4 linked regions of the Callithrix jacchus genome follow. The protein of the gene in region 3 binds, or shares a complex with, the protein of the main gene of each other region. Links are inferred from orthologs where the notes say so. Each region holds a gene or a part of one and is shown on either strand. Other genes may lie near its edges.

Evidence for each region. The genes of interacting proteins can lie anywhere in the genome.
Region 1: PAK1 (region 3) and ARHGEF6 share a complex: the UniProt entries of both Homo sapiens proteins name them as parts of the cytoplasmic complex. The link is inferred for Callithrix jacchus from reciprocal best matches to the Homo sapiens genes PAK1 and ARHGEF6.
Region 2: PAK1 (region 3) and DAB2IP share a complex: the UniProt entries of both Homo sapiens proteins name them as parts of the cytoplasmic complex. The link is inferred for Callithrix jacchus from reciprocal best matches to the Homo sapiens genes PAK1 and DAB2IP.
Region 4: the proteins of PAK1 (region 3) and ARHGEF7 are in contact, whole or in part, in an NMR structure (PDB 1ZSG), measured with the Homo sapiens proteins. The link is inferred for Callithrix jacchus from reciprocal best matches to the Homo sapiens genes PAK1 and ARHGEF7. Residues at the interface, in NP_001363202.1 of Homo sapiens: Thr185, Pro186, Pro188, Val189, Ile190, Ala191, Pro192, Arg193, Lys198, Arg203, Ser204; in NP_001106983.1 of Homo sapiens: Lys192, Phe193, Phe195, Thr198, Asp201, Glu202, Glu217, Gly220, Trp221, Trp232, Pro234, Ser235, Asn236, Tyr237.

The regions. Positions count from the first base shown.
Region 1 is NC_133524.1:133,467,901-133,471,396, reverse strand, and holds part of ARHGEF6 (rho guanine nucleotide exchange factor 6), read left to right. Parts: intron 1-1,067; coding exon 1,068-1,122; intron 1,123-2,400; coding exon 2,401-2,541; 3' UTR 2,542-3,496. UniProt on the Homo sapiens protein: Acts as a RAC1 guanine nucleotide exchange factor (GEF).
Region 2 is NC_133502.1:170,245,491-170,250,133, reverse strand, and holds part of DAB2IP (disabled homolog 2-interacting protein), read right to left. Parts: intron 2,727-4,643; coding exon 2,573-2,726; intron 778-2,572; coding exon 679-777; intron 1-678. UniProt on the Homo sapiens protein: Functions as a scaffold protein implicated in the regulation of a large spectrum of both general and specialized signaling pathways.
Region 3 is NC_133511.1:63,524,885-63,530,091, forward strand, and holds the start of PAK1 (serine/threonine-protein kinase PAK 1), read left to right. Parts: upstream 1-1,583; 5' UTR 1,584-1,791; intron 1,792-5,207. UniProt on the Homo sapiens protein: Protein kinase involved in intracellular signaling pathways downstream of integrins and receptor-type kinases that plays an important role in cytoskeleton dynamics, in cell adhesion, migration, proliferation, apoptosis, mitosis, and in vesicle-mediated transport processes.
Region 4 is NC_133502.1:26,826,874-26,831,516, reverse strand, and holds part of ARHGEF7 (rho guanine nucleotide exchange factor 7), read right to left. Parts: intron 3,687-4,643; coding exon 3,600-3,686; intron 1,057-3,599; coding exon 978-1,056; intron 787-977; coding exon 647-786; intron 1-646. UniProt on the Homo sapiens protein: Acts as a RAC1 guanine nucleotide exchange factor (GEF) and can induce membrane ruffling. Functions in cell migration, attachment and cell spreading. Promotes targeting of RAC1 to focal adhesions. May function as a positive regulator of apoptosis.

The DNA of each region.
Region 1 (3,496 bases), on a different chromosome or scaffold from region 3:
ATTGAAAACATCACACTGCTAAACACAGAGAGTAGGATGGTTGCTTCTACGGCCTGAGGGGAAAGGGGGAATGGGGAGATATTAGTCATAGGTATGCAGAATGAGTAAGTTCTGGACAACTAATGTGCAGCATGCTGATCACATTTGGCCCTCTGCCTGTGTGGGCTCTGGATCTGTGCATTCAGCCAACCCCCGATTAAAAAAAATTCAGAGACAAATAGATGGCTGTATCTGTATTGAACATGTGCAGATTTTTTCATACCTAATAAAGTTTTTCTTTTTCCATCTTTGTTGAGGGATAATTGGCAAAGGTGTACAATGTAATGTCTTGATATATATATGCACTGTGTTATGCCATATTGTTTATTCCTAAATAAAATGGTAAAGCAACTATTTACACGGCATTCACGTCATATTAGGTATAAGTAATCTAGATATGATTTGCATAGGTTATATGCAAATACTATGCCATTTTATATTAAGGACTTGAACATCTGTGGATTTTGGTATCCATGGCGTCCTTGAACCAATAACCCGTGGATACCAAGGGAAGGAAGACTGTGTAGTTTACAATGCAGTATAAGAGTGTAGATTTTGCTAAGAGTGTAGATTTTGAGTGTTTCTACCACACACATACAAAAGGTAACTATGTGAGGAGGTGGATATATTAATTAGCTTGATTCTGGTGACCACTTATATCTTGATATATCAAGACATCACATTGCACACTTTTGTCAATTATCCCTCAACCAAGCTGGAAAAACAAAAACTTTGTGATGGGCCTTGATCTCTTGTATTTTGTTCACCCAGGCTGGGAAGTGAATAGGAAAGGAGAAGGGAAGTATAGAAAAGGGGTAATGACGTTGTCTTTAGCTAAGCATGTGTGCTGGTGGTTGTTCCTCCATCAAAATAAAGACGATAGAGACCATTCAGAGCAGTACCGTTCCTGCTAGAAAGTCCACTGTTTTTCAGGATCTGTATTCTCATAAAGTGGCTTTTATTGTCAAGTATTTTAACAGTACGTCGGTGCAAGCCATTTGTCTCTGAATTTTATCTCTATGTTCTAGGAGCCTTGTTGATACTGTTTACGCCTTGAAGGACGAGGTCAAAGAACTGAAGCAGGTAATAAAACATAAAAGTCATTTTCTCGGATGACAAAACCATTGTCTTTTCCTTGACTCACACCCGTCATGCTGTCAGGGAGGGCCTAGGAGCAAGGTAGTGAGGGGGAGATTTTTATTTTTCTTGTGTTATCAAGGTAGGTTTTGTCGACTTTATAATGGAGCCTTGAGTTTAAATTTCTGATATTCGCTTATATTTCTATGTAGTAGTTCACAATAGACTCCCAAAGTTAGTTACAACTTTCCTGTTCTCTGACATCCGTAAACAGACCTTAAGAAAAGACTAGTCATTCATGACTGTGTAAGTGTAAAGAGAACCATTAATCATTGTTTGTGGGCTTTTCTGCTGATGTGGTCCATTGCTCCGTGACACACACTGTGCCTTGTGTGTGAGAACTGACTGTATCGGGTGACAGAGTGAAGGATGGATGGCAGGGGAGAGAGACCAGGGACTGGAAGACCACTTAGGAGGTTCTTACAAAACTCAGGGTGAGACATGTCAAAGTCCTGAACTGAGGCAGGGCAATGAGGCTGGGAAAGAGCAGAGTGAAAGTAAAGGATGGGACATTGTAGAGTTTGAACATATAGATGAGGATAGTGTGATTTTGAGATTAAGAAAGAGCCAGGGATTAAAGGTGAAGCTTCTTTCCTGGGTGTCCAGTTGCATATGGTAGTGCCCTTCATGGAGTTCAGGAACCACAGGAGAAGGAGAAGTTTAGGGTGTTGAGAGAGATACTGAGTTCACTTTAGGATCTGATGAGTTCGAGGTGCTTGTGACATATCTAGGTGGAAACACCAAGCTGCTGCCAGGTAATCTCAGGTACGTGAAAGGATCACTTAAGCCCGGGAGTTTGAGGCTACAGTGAGTCATGATTACGTCACTGCTCTCCAGCCTAGCGAAAGAGTGAGACCCCCATCGCTTAAAATAATAATAATAATAATACCAAGCTGGCATTTGAGATTGTAGACCTGGTTCTCAGGAGACAAGATCAGTACCAGAGATATTTGGTAGTCTGCTTAATAGACACTTGATTTGAAAGAGAAGCGACACTAAAGAGCCAGTTAAATTAGAAGAGGGTCAGGGCAGGGAAGAAGAATCCAAAAGGCTTCCCAGAGACAGGCAGGAGAATCGACGGGCTGCTTTGTCATAGATGCTGAGGGAGCGGAGGTTGAGGAAGGAAAGGTAGTCAGTGATGAAAACTGCCCAAAGGATGAGCAGGAGGAGCCCTGGGAAGGGCCCCCCTCTGTTCGGTAATCAACAAATCTTTCCCCATCATAGGAAAATAAAAGAATGAAACAATGCCTGGAAGAAGAATTGAAGTCAAGAAAGGACCTAGAAAAGCTGGTTCGGAGGCTTTTGAAGCAAACAGATGAATGTATTCGAGCCGAGTCCACTAGCAAGACCTCGATTCTTCCATAACCATCACTGTGCCACCGGGTGGAGTGTGCCTTCAGGGCATCTTGAAATGTGCCTCTGAATGATTTGACTCAGTTTGCTCACTTCTTTGGCTTTTGTTTTGTGTTTGAGTCTGTATCTCTCTCTCGCTCTCTCTCTCTCTTCCCTCTCTCTCCTGTGTGTGTGAGTGTGTGTGTGTGTGCACGCGCGCGCGTGCTTGGGCATTTGTTGTTGTTTGGTTGTTCGTTTTTTTTCAACGGGAAAAAGCAGGAGGTGGTGGTAGAAATGGCCCCAGAGTCTTTTCCGTTCAGTAAGAAAAGGAAAGCGAACTCAGGCCAATTACTTAAAGGGTCTTCAGATTGCCTTCAGTTCACAGTGCCTCCGCAACAGCCATTGCCCTCGGGTCACATTCTCTGGGCGGGCTGGCTGCCCTCGCAAAGCAGCTGGCCAAGGCTTATTAAATGTGAGCCCAACTTGTCCCCCTAGTGCTTTCCTCTGCCTGCAAGCCTGTTAGTACCTAATTTACTGAAGGCAAATCTTCCAGAGCTACGGCTAGAGTAAGATGAAAGACAAACACATCTACCCAGTGATCCAGCTGCCCTTCCTTAGACCATCACAGGCTACCTGTCAATCACAGGTTTTAAAACTACTGCCCTATGTTGTCTATAAAACCAAGAAAAATGTACTACTTTTATTCCTTTTGTGTTGTGTACATTGTAACTCAGGGGGCAGAAGCTCTGGTCACCCACACCAACACCAAATCCATCAGCAAGTTCTATTGGACAATCCTCCCTCTCAGTAGCAGAGTTAACTGCCTTTTCCCATTGCATGATAGGTTTCTTTCCCTCACCTTCTGCCTAGTGTGTAAGTTTTCTATTTCCCCAGTGCTTTTAGCCAACTGTACCAAGTGGTGTGTAAACTAGTATGTATGTGCTTCGCTTACTTTTTAAAAAACATAGTTAGACTGTGAGCAATTACC
Region 2 (4,643 bases), on a different chromosome or scaffold from region 3:
ACCTTGGGTAAGTGACTTAACTGGAGCCTTGGCTTGCTTGTCTATAAAACAGAACTAAGATAACCCCCATCTCATGAAGGGCGAGACTAAAGGAGGCCAGCACAATGCCTGGCACGTCACAGGCTATGAAGTCATTATTAACTCTTCCTTAATTTGCTGGTCTGTAAAGTAACTTAAGAGATGACTATGGTGACCAGGACTTGATCAGGCCCTCAAGTCTGCTAGGAAGACAGACAAAGAAGCAGTGTCTGTCTGTGTCTGTGGGGCTCCTAGGACCTGATGGAGGAGCCCAGGGGCAGTGGGAACACAGAGGGCACCAACCTGGGACAGGGCTCCTCACCTGGAGGAGGGGCAGACATCTAAGCTGGAATTGGACAATGAGCAGAAGTTGGTCAGGGGCTGGAGAGTAGGGACAAGGGGTCCCAGTGGAAGGACCCCAGGTGCCCCAGCCCAGCCTCAACGTGTAGCTTAGAGAACAGAGGCACGCAGCACGTGTCTCAACCTGGCCAATCAAACATGCCTTTCAGAGTCCACCAGTATTGTCCACTTGAGTCCTGCCTCCACGCAGGCTGACCACTGCCAATCCCAGGCCACACCACAGAGATCATCTCTCTTGCTTCCCTGTGTCTGAGCCTACCATTGATCCCCTATGATTTGGTGAGAGGGGCGCAGGCTTACCTTGTTGGGGTGCACCGCCCGCCGCAGGTTCTCCATCCACTTATCCCGCTCAGCTGCAGACCGGCAGGAAAAGCACTTGCTTCCTGATGATGTCGTCACCTGTGGGGAGCAGGCAAGGCAATGTTACAAGGGAAGGGACCACAGTAAGGGCAGACAAGGATAGAAGAAGACCTTTGAAGCTCAGAGGACTCTGGTCACCAGGCCTGCATCACAGCCTCAAGAAGGAGCCAGGACAAGGCTCACATGATGCCTCTATTTCACATTTTACAGGTAGTACACTGAGACCCACTGTCCCAGGGCAAGTCAGCAGCCAAAGAGTGGCCCAGTCCTGCACCAGTGGGCTCCTCACTCATCCTTCAGTGCCCTCTGTTCAGTAGGAAAACATCTTTCTAACTCTATCCTCCCTCTCCCTGAGATGGGAAGAGGGAAGGAACGAAGACCTTACCCAGGTCAGAGGGCAATGCTTAACCCAAGTGTACTTGCCCTAAAGGCGAAACCACAAGAACCAAGGAGATAATGAAAGGTACCACAGTCCCTCAATCCTCAGCTGACATCTCTGAGGGTTCTCTTCTGCCAAGCAACAGTGACAACGATGGTAATATAAGCCTGGTATTTTTTACACCAGACCAGAAAATGAGACTCGGACTGTTTGGATGTACCAGGCCCCAGGGTCCCTGGTCCCTGACCCTTCTCCTCCCCTCCCTGTCTATCACTCACTCATCCTCAGGTCCAACTTAGACATCCCCTCCAGGTAAGGGAGCCAGTTGGAGCGATTCCTTCTGTGTGTTCCCACTGCCCCCAACAGCAGACCCAGGGTTCTGCAGGGGAAGCACACTCCACCAGGCACTCGAGGGCCTGTACACTCCATAGCACCTCCTGCTGTGAACCAGCAGACAGGGCCATCTTCACCCTATCTCTGGCAAGGAAGTCAGAGCTCAGATCAAGCCCAGCTTGGTCAGGGGTCCTGAACCAGAAATGGCACCCAGTGGGCACAGGGTATGGGGTAGGTGCCAGGTACCATTCTGTCTTTTCCCCAGGGCTAGGTGTGCCAGGAGATTGTCACATTAGTCCCCAAGTGGCTGCTTTCCATTATCAGGCTCATTCCTCTACCAGAGAGTTCTCTGCATAACGCATGATTATTGGGGGTAGGAATCTTCCCAGAAACCAGTAGGAAGCAATATGAATAACTGGAGAAGCAATTAGGAGGAACTCCCAGGAATACCTACAGCAATAGTAACCCTACTCCTGGCTTGGTCTCAGCCTTGCTGTGTGACCTCTGATGTCTTCGTGCCTTCTCTGAGTCTCAGATCCCCATTTACTATGAGGGACTAGACAGGTCATCCCCAGGTAACACCCTTGCCCAGGGTGGATAACTGACTCTGCAGTACAACCTCAGGTCGCAGAATGCCAGGGCAGCAAAGATTTGGGCTTTTATTGTTCACAGCAGGAAACAGGCCCAGAAAAGGGGAGACTCTGTGCTATCCACACCGCATTTGGGGTACCATTCTGTTTTTGTAAGAAAACTGCATTTGGGGGTGAGTGAGCTCTAAGACACGGGCTCTGGTGCTTCAGAAATTCAGGCTTTTCCCCTACTCACCGTCACCCACTGGGGGCAACAGCAGCTTCATGTTAGCATGGAGAATAGGTGTTGGCCCCTTTTCTGAGAGTCTAGAGAACAGAAAGGACAGCCCCCACCCCAGCTCCACTTGGTCTCTTAGGAGCTGAAAGGTATCAGTAAATAATAGCCACTGTCCCCAAGAGCCTGGCCACTACCCTCATGACCCCAGCCCCTGCTGAGGCCACAGCAGACTGGACTCCAGGAGGTTGTCTGTAGGAGACCAGCCAGGCCAGGAAAGGATGGGGTATCCACCCCAACCCCTGAGATGGGACCCACCTCAAAGCAGTAGTCTTGGCCAAGGATGCTGCTGTGCACAGGCTTGATGACCACCTCTTCCTCCATGCTGAGGTCCAGCGCCTCCACTGCACTGCTGGGGCTGAGCAGGGACTCGTGGGAGCGAGACTCCTTCAGCCTTGGCATCAGATGGGACCTGGGGTTGCAGTAGGTGTGTCAACCTGGGCCCCACCCCTGCAGGCTGGGCCAAGCTGGTAGCCACGTCCCACCCATCTGCCCTGCCCCTGCCCCTCCCGGGAGGCAGTCACTTCTCTCCACTCTCTCCTTTCTGTCTTAAGACAGATCTGGGGGAAGGGTCATCACAGAGACTGGTGGGAACCTTCTCCACACTGCAGGAGTCTGGGTCTCAGAGAACAAGAAGGTGAGGATTAGGTGACTACTCCGGGGTTAACATTAGCAAGTGAGCCTGCGGGGCAGGGGCCAGCTTGGCTCCTGGGCAGCCCCGGAGACCCAAGGAAAGCCCATCTGACCCAGGCAGCTGCCTGCAGTTCTGGAGCTGTGCCCATTTCCCCTCAAGCCTGAGCAGTCACTCCGTCCCAACATTTATCCAGCACACCACTGCTAAGAGCCCTTCCTCATACGCTGTCCCAAACCACCAGCCCCACACAAGTGAGAACCACAGGGACCCTGCTGCTCTCATCTTACAGATGAGGACAGTGAGGAGAGGTGAGTCTCGAAGCAGAAGGGATGCGGCAGTCTACACAGTACCCAAGACACACACTCTGTCAGGGTGAACATGCTGGGGCCCGGGGCCCGGGTCAGCGGGTCCAACACAGGCACAAAGAGCACAGGGCTGATGCCATCTGGCACCCAAATGCAGACCAGGCCTGGGCCCACTGCTCCCCTGCTGTGGTCCTGGGGAAATCATCCTCCTCTGAGCCTCAGTTTCTTCAGTGCATCACATGGAAAGCACCTCAGATGATACCTGCTCCAAGGTTAGGTAAAGTCTCTTTCCAAAGTCAGCAGCACAGAGCAGGCAGTGTCTTCCTAAAGCCCCAGCCCTGACGGTGGGGCAGAGGAAAAGTGTAAAGACAGGCTGGGCCTGTTAAGACCACCTCTGGTGCAGAAGCTGTGCCTTGCTTGTGTTGGCTCAAACCCTGGGGTTGGTGACAAACCTGATCCAGGCTTAGCCCCCACGGACCTCCTACTGTCAACCCCCTATGTCCTTTGGCTCATGGCTCCAGTGGTCCAAGTGCTCAGTCCATTGTTCTCTTCCTGCCTCTCCAAAGACCCCTACCTTGGGCCATGCTGAGGCTTGGCCCCTGACTTGGGGGGCTTGTGGCTTGGCAGAGCCACCAGACACTTCCCTGGAGGGTGAATACCCTGTACATTCATTTCTGTGACTGCCTCGGGTCAGGGGGCTGAGGCCCACTCCGTGGGTGCTCAGAAACCCAGAGTTGAACAGGAAAAGCCCTGTTCAGAAGGACTCAGGCTGACAGAGGCCACCTTCCCACCCCAAGCTCCACATCTCCATGGCAATAGCCCTCTGAGCATGAAAACCCTCCCTGACATGGAGTCCCATGCTAGATGCCATATGGAGTCAGAGCTGAACCCCAACCCTTAGATATTCCACAGAGGCCAGCCCAGAAGCCCCATTCAACAGACTCCCTTTGCCTCTCCATGTCCAGCACGAAGCTGGCCTCTGAAAGCAGAGGGAATGGGCAGAGCCAGAGGAAGGCTATGAGACAAGCTCAAGACAGGGCAGGGCCTTCCCAGCTTCCCCAAGGACTCCCACCTAGGGCTTCCTGCTGTGGCCTAAGCCCATGGGTATGCTCAGCATGTGCCTCTGCTCCTCCGGGGCGCTCTCCTTGGGAGGCCCAGCTCACAAAGGGGCACTGTGGCCTACCCACCACAGCACGCCACTGTGTTGGAACAGGCTTCTTCTCCTGATGATCCTCCAAGGCCCAGCCTCCTCCCCGTCACAGCAGTGGCCAATGCCATGGGGGGGCCTGTCCTCCCCGGGCTAAGATTCCACCTGAGCCACCCGCCTCCCAGGGCAGACTCCAGGCCTCCCTACCACATGGGGCTTCATACCTCAGGGGAAGAGACGCCC
Region 3 (5,207 bases):
TCTTGTACATAGTATGGCAGAGAGAAATAAATAAATAAGTAAACATTGGCTTAGAAGTTAGACCAGGGACAGGAGGGCTGAGCATTTACCAGATATGTGGTCTTGGGGAAGTCACTGACTTCTTTCACTCATCGTATTCTGTTTTCCACCAAGTTCTGCTGTTGCTTTTTCTAAGTGTCTTTAGAAAATATGCTTGCTTCTTTTTATGTTATCTTACAATGTGTTAGTCTAAATCATTACCATTTTCTGTTATCTGAATCTCTGAGAGAACATTAACTTGTTTTCTTATTTCCACTCCTACCCCTTTCTCCACTAAACAGCCAGTGATCTTTTAAAATATGTAAGTTAGAGTTTGTCATTCTGCTTTCAAACCTACCAGAGCCTTCCCACAGCTAAAACTTGTGACAAAAGCCTAACTCCTAGTTATGACCCGAAAGAGACACCACATAATCTGACTTCTGTCAGGTCTCTTAAGAGCAGGGTTTGGGAGGGGGAGAAGTGGGGTAATACTGCCTCCTAGGGAGCATTTGCAAATGCGTGAAGGTGTGTTTTATTGTTTCAGTAATTGGGCGGCACTACTAGAGGCACTACTAGTCTGGACCATGTTGGTTTCTATACTGTGTTGTTCAGCTCAGGTTCCTTCACAACGCCTGATACACAAAAACACAATAGTTGGTTAAAAAATACTTATTGTATGAGCCCACATTTTCCCTGGACCTCTGTTTTGACATATATGAATTGGTATAGTGCCTACCTCATAAGGTTGTTTTGAGAGAGACATAGAATTTATAAAGTACCTGGTACACAATAGTTCTTAATAAATGATAGCAGTGGCCAGATGTGGTGGCTCACGCCTGTAGTCCATAGTTTGGGAGGGCGAGACAGGAGGATTGCTTGAGAACAGGAGTTTGAGACCAGCCTGGGCAACATGACAGACCCTATCTGTACAAAAAAAATACAAAAATAACCAGGTGTGGTGGTGGGCACCTATAGTCCCAGCTACTTGGGAGGCTGAGGCAGGAGGATCATCTGAGCCCAGGGAGTTCGAGGCTGCAGTAAGCCAAGATCCAGCCACTGCACTGGAGCCTGGGTACACAGCAAGACTGTCTCAAAATAATGATGATGATGATGATGATGATGATGATGAGGTAGTAGCTGCTAAGCTTTCATTGCTTAGAAGCAGCTACAAGGGCCCACCTAGCTCTTCCTGGAGCATTAGAATTAGAACCTGGCACGTTGGGGGAGGGAGGAAGTGTATCTCTTTCTCTGAGGCCTAATCTGAATCCTAGGTCTAACCTGAGGAATCCTAGAAGAGACTCCTCTATACTCAGCTGTAGAAACTAAAGCACAGAGGAGCACTGGTTGCATTCCTTGACTCTGGAGCTCACGCAGGACTCTGACAAGCACTGAAAAACCTGGCCTTGGAGAGAAATTACCTCTTGCTGGAGACTGGGTGTGGGAAGATAGCCCTCTCCCCGCCCTTAGCGCTGCTTTGCAGAAGAGGAGAAGCGCGCGCGGCTTCCTCCCGCCTCCTTCCCTCCTTTCTTCCCCCGCCCCTTCTGTTTCACCAACCCCGACGCAGCGCCTTCGCTGCCGCCCTGCGAGGGCGCGAGCGTGCTGCACCTCGGGAGCTGGCGGCTGAGCTGCCAGGAGCCCAGAGCAGCCCAGCCCAGCCGAATTGAGCGGAGCCCTTGGAGACGGGGCCTTGCGGGAACCCGGCTGGGCAGGGAGAGGTGCAGCTCTGCGACAGAAACAATCGCCAGAGATGCCGGGGCCAGCCTTCCCCACCAGGTAATGCTGGCCCTGCGTGGGGCTTGCCTAGATGGGCCGGGTTCTGGAGGAATCTCCGCAGGCCTTCAGAGAGTGGTGACACGGGGTTCAGTAGATTTTGAGGGGTATCTTACTTTCCTCTTACCTTAAGGGACCCTAAATGAGAGAAGGGGCTGAGGGTATGGAACCTTTAGATGAGCCCACCCAGAACTAGGCCTGCACTGGAATCGGAGCTCTGCTCAGGGAAGTGGGTAAAGGGGAAGCTGCGCCTTTGGGGAACTGCTCTGCCTCAGGAACTCTGCTTCTTTGCAAGCCCCCTTCTGCTTGGTGGCCAAGGTGATGTTTTCCTCTATCTTGGCTTGGCAGCTGGCCTGTTGGGACTGTGGGGCTTTTCTCTGTTAAGAGGTTGAGTGAACTGGGAGACAGGAGACCTGGGAGGACTGGTCCTATTCAGACATCTTCAGTTGCCTTATCTGTGCAGTGAAGGACTTGACATTGTTTGTTACTCTGGCTTTCCAAGCCTTCAGACCATCTTTTGGAAAGGTGAGCTGGTTTAAAATGCTAAAATGGGCTGCAGAGATGTTCCCCTCAACACTGCAGAAGAGAGGAGAACTTGGGAAATAGACCATACTGTTTTCCAGCCAGCCTTTTGAATGGCCTCTTGCTGGTTCTTCAGAGGCAAGGCAGAGGCTTGAGAATGCTAATGCTTATTTTAGTGTGGTGTGTAGGTGTGTTAGGTGTAGGGAGGCAGGGTTGGGAAGTAGAAGGTCAAGGTATGTTAATGGTTCTAAACTGGCCAATTTTTCTGTCTTTAGGTATAAAGTTGCTTTAAACTAGACTCTCTTCTCTGGAGCTCCTTCCTTATTCTGCTAAGTTAATGACAGACCTGGCTGTGGTAATATCTTAATCACTATAATTCCTTCCTTCTTTATTATCTGGCACCAAGAAGTTCATGTCAGGCCTGATAATAACCTACTTTAATTATTTTGGAACTCTTTCCTTCCCCCAGTTTTTTGATGACTCTACGTCTTCTTCCTCTCCTCACTCTTCTATTTTCTCCTCCTGATTTTTCCTGTCTTAGCCCTGCCTCCTGCCTACCTTTTCTCCCACCCTCTCTTCACCCTTCCTCCTCCCCTCGTGCTTCCCCTTTCCTATTTCTCCCCCTCTGTAGCCAGTCTTTCCTTCCTTCTCTCGGATCCTCCTCCTCTCGATTAGGCTTTCTTCTCTTTTCTTAAAATTTTTGGTTAAGCTTTCTCATTGTTAGTAGGTTACTGGTTTTTAGGGACCTTCTGCTGTGTTTGTGAGGTCCAAACATTGTTTTCTACCTAACTCACTTGCTTCTAGCTTTTACCTCCAAATTCTATCTTCCCCAAATACCATTCTCTCTCCTTACTGCCTCTATGCTTTGCCTTGGGCCTGCCAACAAGCAATTCTTCTTCCTGCATTTGTTTCCTGTCTTCTTTTCTGGTGGTGGTGGGGCAGCAGGTAGGCAGTAGGTAATAAGCAAGATGGGAAGTGGGGGGCTTGAGTGGGAGGAGAGCAAAAATGTCAAGTAGTGTTGGGCAGAGGTTCAAGTTCCCTTTAGTGAGATGAATGACTGGGAGGACCAGAGACTCTGGCAGCTGTGAGGTAGTGCTGATCTGGAGAAAAGGAGGTAGCCCAGGGAAGAAGAGGGAGGATAGCAGGATAGAGGGACAGGAGGAGGAGGAGGAGGCCTGGGGGAGAAGACAGTGCTCTTTGAAAAAGACGGTAGCCTGGACAAGATAGGGGTTATTTGGGGTCAGGGTATATGTAGAAAGAGAAAGATTATAGTGTGGGGAAGAGGACTATGTAGGTTAATTATCTTCCCCTTTGCTGACCGGCTTTTTGGACTGATTTCTACTCAGCAAATTTTTTTTAGTTAAAAAATGTGAAAGCATTTACCATGTTTATCATGTTTAAGTGTACAGTTCCATTTTAATAAGGACATTTATATCCTTTTCTCCTTCTTCATCCTCACCACTCCCTTTCCTGGCCTTTGGTAACCACCAGTCTACTCTATCATCATGAGATACACTTTTTTACCTTCCATATATGAGTGAGAACATGTGATATTTGTCTTCCTGTACCTGACAAAATGGCCTCCAATGTCATCTATGTTGCTGAAAATGACAGGATTTCATTCTTTTTTTATGACTGAATAATATTCCATTGTGTTACATGTGTAACACACACACACACACACACATTTTCATTTTAGCTTTTATGAATAGTGCCACAGTATTCATGGGAGTGCGTTATCTCCTTCATATATTGATTTCCTTTCTTTTAGATATATACCCAATAGTGGAATTGCTGAATCATATGGTAGTTCTATTTTTAGTTTTTTAGGAACTTCCATACTATTCTCCTTAGTGGCTCTACTAATTCACATTTTCACTGACAGCATATGAGGGTTCTTCTTTCTCTCCATCCTTGCCATCATCTATTATTGCCTATCTTTTTCTTTCTTTTTTTTCAGACAGGGTCTTGCTCTGTTGCCCAGGCTGGAGTGCTATGGCACAATCATAGCCTCCTGCAACTTCAACCTCCCAGGTTCCAGCAGTTCTCCTACCTTAACCTCTCAAGTAGTTGGGACTGCAGGCACATGCCAACATGCCTAGTTAATTAAAAAAATAAATAAATTTTTTTCTTAGAGGTGTGGTCTCCCTATGGTGCCCAAGCTGGTCATGAATTCCTGGGCTCAAGTGATCTGCCTGTCTTGGCCTCCGAAAGTGTTGGGATTACAGGCGTGAGCCAACATACCCAGCCTCTGCCTGTTTTTTTGATATAAGCCATTTTTACTGGAGTGAGATGATACCACATTGTGGTGTTGATTTGCATTTCTCTGATGGTTGAGCATTTTTTTCATGTACCTGTTGGCTGTTTATATGTCTTTTTTTGAAAAATGTCCATTCATATCTTTGACTGTTTTAAAATTGGGTTACTTGTTTTTTTGCTATTAAGTTGTTTGAGCTTCTTAAATATTCTGTTTATTAATCTTTGTCAGATGAATAGCCTACAAATATTTTCTCCTATTTTGTGGGTTGTCTCTTCACTTTGTTAATCAACAAAATTTCTGTGAGCAGTGTCCTTAAAGTGGGGGAATTAGAGGGAAAGCAGAGATGAGAATGACAAGGTTGCTGGTTTATTGGTACTCACTGTCTACACTAGAATGTGGAATGTATTTATATAAAAAAAGCTTTGAATATTGCATCCATCCATTATCAAATATCTCTGAACCATCATAACTAAGCTAGTTATGGTACTAGGTTCCTAGGTATACAAAAATTGAAATTGTACTCAGTTGCTGCCCTCAAATGCAGGTCAAGGAATATGGAATCTCATGTGGTAAGTATTGTAGAAGGAAGCACAAGGGGCTGTGATAATGCAGAAGGCACATTTGATTTAGCAAGACA
Region 4 (4,643 bases), on a different chromosome or scaffold from region 3:
TGAAAGTTCTGCCCAGTTTTTCGGTATTACTCGATAAAGATGACAGCTGTTAACCCAGTACCAGCTTCTCAAGCACAAAACACCAGGAGAGGTTTAGACACTGCAACTTCAGTGCTTATCTATTCTGAAAAGTGGTAATTCTCTAAAAATACAAAGAGTTGTTGAGCCTTTCTAAGTATAAGATACCTCAATTTCTTAAAACCAAAACAGTGTGTCATAAATTCTATTTTAATGCCTTCAACATGAATTTGGCCCTTATCATCATCAATCATTTATTTTTCTCTCTCATAAATGAAGCATGATAAACAGTTAAAATTCTCAGCAAAATCATCTATAGTTTCGTGTAAAACTCCCCTAAATGAGTCTTCCAGGGCCACGCTGAGCAGAAGCAGCTTCCCACCCAAGCGCCTCTGAACTGTGTGTGAGGAAGCAAAACTCTGGGCGGTTTCTCAAGAACACTCACTGGGAAACAATTCACTACAAGCCCGAAGAGGACCAAATATTTGCAGAGAAATATGAAGCAAGTGTTTTGCCTTTTTTTAATCCAAATACTGATTAGGTTTTAAAGCACTTGATCACTTGCTGACAGCTCAGCCACGGTGCCACCGTTTGGAGTCTAGAAGGAGAAAAAGCGCTAAGTCCTTACGGTGTGAGATGGCACCGAATGTGGCTTGATGGTGGGGTTTCCCACGGACGTGACTTTTGTTTGCTTCTGTAGGTGGTCCACCCATTCCTGCAGATCCTGCTGGTTGTTGCAGGACACTAATATCCGCTCAATCATGCTCCCTAGAAGACAGAAGGAAAAAAACAGGCCGAGTGGAAACACAGGTAAAAAGCGCGTGCATGCACACACACACCCCCGAATTCCACTCAGCCCTTCAACACCACCTCCTGAAATACGCAAGCAAGAATGTGCACGCGGGACAAGCTGCCTCTCCTCCCCGCGACACAGCACTCACACAGCTTGTGCCTATCACCTGATATTTCAAATGCGTTTCTATGATTTTCACTGTCCTCAAGCTTTGTGATTGTCATTCCTGTCGTTGGAAGCTTTCCCTAAAAAAGACCCCCCCACACAAAAAAAAAAACAATTAGTGCTTTTCTAGAAAAAGGTACCATTATTAAGGTAAATACTAAATGATTTTAGAACTGGCAGAGGAACTGTGTTTGTGAACCAAAAAAAGCTCATTTATAGCAGATATATGCATAATACAAAAATCTTTATCTCAAATAATAAATCCTAATACTGTACTGTAATTGAGAAACTCAACTGGCGGCATCTGATGAGCTGCTGCTAAACACAGGCACCAGGACACAAAACATTACACATTATGATTTTTAAAAATTACCATGCCTAACAGTTGTTTTAAATGACATTTTTGCAGGAAAGAAGCATGTATTTGCCTCATAAAGAAATGCAGAGGAAGCTCCAAGTTTAAAGTCAAAATAAGGGTGGGAAATTGAGGCAAGAACACTAATTGCATAACATTCTCCTTTGTAATCCACCAAACAGAAAATAAGCAGTTGTGCTAAATGCTGCACACAGTGCAGAAAATGGGTGGCAACCCAATCCTCCCTGAACACGGCAGAAATCGTAACTGCAACAGGAGATGTCAATGCAGAGACATTGGAAGGGGAACAAACAGTCATTACCAACAAGGCAGAAGTGAACACAAAACCCGTGGCGCAGCTCATAGAAGCCAACAGTGCACGGTGGCCCACCAAATCCTCAGGGAGAGTCCGTGCTGCCTGGGAGCACTCAGTCAGCTTCGGAGCAGGATTCTGCGTGAGCACCTCCAGAGGGAGTGCTGCTCAACCAGTATGGGGGCCATGCCCCCCAGAGAGAACAGGTGGCAGTGCCGCAACCTGGCAGGGGCTCAGATGTCCAGCAAGTAAGAGGCCAGAGAGGCTGCTGATACCCTACAGTGCCCAGGACAGTCTCCCTGAGCCCCCAGCCCTAGGCCACAAATGACCCAGTCCAAAATGTCAGCAGTGCCCAGGCGGAGAATCCCATCCTAAAGCATAGCAGGTAGAAGAGGAGACTGCTGGACATTTCTGTGGCCAAGCGTATTTCAAAAATGCTACACACTGTGAACTCCTTTCCAAGATTCATAATGCACGTAAGTACTTTAACAGCTGTGAGTCCTACGGAAAATAAAACCGCACGACTGTGGCCCATCTGAGCATCAGTGTATAGACCACTATGACTACAGCTAAATCAAACGCTTTTCTAGCATCCCCCAAAGTCAGCGTTCTAATAGTAGAAATGGATACTGATGATACAGAGACCACAGGTCACCACTGTGTTGAGAATGGAAAATAAAATCCAGTTTTGAGATGAGGTCTCCAACAGCCTGTCAACACAACAAGGGAAAAGCCAGTGTGAGCCCCAGCTTCACAGGCAGGGACTCAAGCTTGCCATGAGTGGTACCTCTTCTCCCTTAGGTTAGAGAAGGCCACTGTCTCCAGCCACTAAAATGAGATTCTGGGGATATAAAACAGGGAGCCAGACAGTGCTGACCAGAAAGGACAGAGATTTAGGGTTATCAAGGTCACTGAACAAAGAAGTAGTTGCCAGTTTGGGGGAAAACTCTAGTGGGCACTATCTCAGCCACAGATCACCTCTCTTCAGCAGTGACCTTACAAACTACAGCCTTATTTTCCTGAGTCTGTTCCTATATCTATAACTCACCAATTCTAAAGCACGCGTTTTGGAGTAAGCATATGACAACAAGTCCTCTCTGGGAGGTCGACAAAGCCTCTGTGAAGGCACAGTGTCTACTCAGGTTCTCTAACGTCCCTGCTGGGACAACACAAAACAACACATGCCATAATGAAACACAACCCAGAGAACACGAAGCAGTGACTTCTGCTGCAGTGGTTATGGGGTGACTGGCCAGTCCTCAGAAAGGTGATGGGAAGGATAGGAACCTCTGTAACGTCACAGAAAAAAAAGAATGAAACCTGCCAAGCACATCTACTAGATATACAGAAAAAAATACCAGCTCCTTCATATATCACCCACTATAAACCACCGTCACAACAGAAAAGGCCTTGCTCACCCTCGCACCTCCTTCTCAAATCCGCTCTCACGTTTTCTCAAAGCAAAGCAGGAAAACAAAAATGAAAACAGTTAAATGATCACACATGCTACTTACATCACTTCTATTTGCTCATGCATTTGGGCAGCACTGTGCCACTGACAGAAGATCTCATCCTACACTACCCCACCCCTCTACCCCATAAGCCCTAGCTGAACCCATTTCACAGAACAAAACTACAGCTGGGAGGAGCAAGGTACTCTGCCTGAATTGACATTAGGCAACGACAGAGCCTGACTTGTACCACGGCAGTCTGTGCCCTTATGAGGCTGCTCTACAAATTTACACTTCTTTCCTTTTTTAAACTAGCATAGGATGTGCTTGCATAGTTACAAAACGCACAGAAGCTGTACATCCATCTCTGAATATACAGCACTACACACACAGCACATACACAGATAGATAAATGTTAATATTTAACACAAAATTCAAAGCCAGCTTGAAATTACCCTCAGATCCACAATACACAACGAAATATAACTTTAAATTGTGTTTTACCTGATAGATAAAGCCACTCATCCTAGGACTGGCAGACAACATTAGCAAAACATGTGGGAAGAGTAGAAGATATCTTTCATTCTTTTCCTAATACAAAAAAAAAAAATCCAAAAAATTTCTTAAAAAACATCTACTGACAAATGTGAACACAAATACTTATTTATCCTAGGCCCTATGAAATATTACATGATTTTCTTGTCTAGGTATTTCTATCAAATTTTATCACGTAAATTAAATGGTAACAAAATTATGATAAATTCTGTACTAAGTCTTAAAATATGATTAAGAGAGCTTTATCATATAAGAGAAAGATTTCTAAATTCTTCAAAAACCAAAAGGTAAGAAAGTAAACAGAATGATTAAAAGATCCTGGACTCACAATTAGCCTGTGTAACATCTTGAAAAAATATTTGGTTAAGGAGTTCAGCTCTGTGATTAACCTTTTTCAGGTAAGCTAAAATTTTCTTTTTGTGGTTCAGAGAAAAAGGAGAGAACCTATAAATTTTAGTGGGGTCGGGGGAATAGGTGGAGCCTTTAAGCTAAAGAAAGGGTATGGTAAAATGTGAAAATCAATTTCGGTCTCCTAGTAATCCCCACAACTTCCCCAGACCTCCCAATGTTAACTCAGTGTTGTTCTCACCCCACAAACTTCACCTGGTTACACAAACACTTACAAGTATTACTTTTGTATTAAAAACCATTTGCCTCAGTAAGATAAAAGCCAAAGACAAAAGTTCCTAAGAATCCAAAAACAGACACAGAAATGCCACAGTCCTTTTCACATGTTGACATTTAAACTACTGCCCCAAAAGTGAGATAAGCCCTGGGAAGCAGTTTGCCCAAGCATATTCCTCAGAACAGCAGGCCTGTGCAAAGCACCTGGAAAAGACGCTTCCACACCTGAAAGGGGTCATTGAGAATGACTTGCTGTATTCCCCTCTAGAAGAGTCACAACATACACTGGGAACACACAGAGCCAAGTGTGAGAAGCTCCGTCATCAAGAATCTTTACCACTGATTACGTTCAGTCATGATCAGAACCAC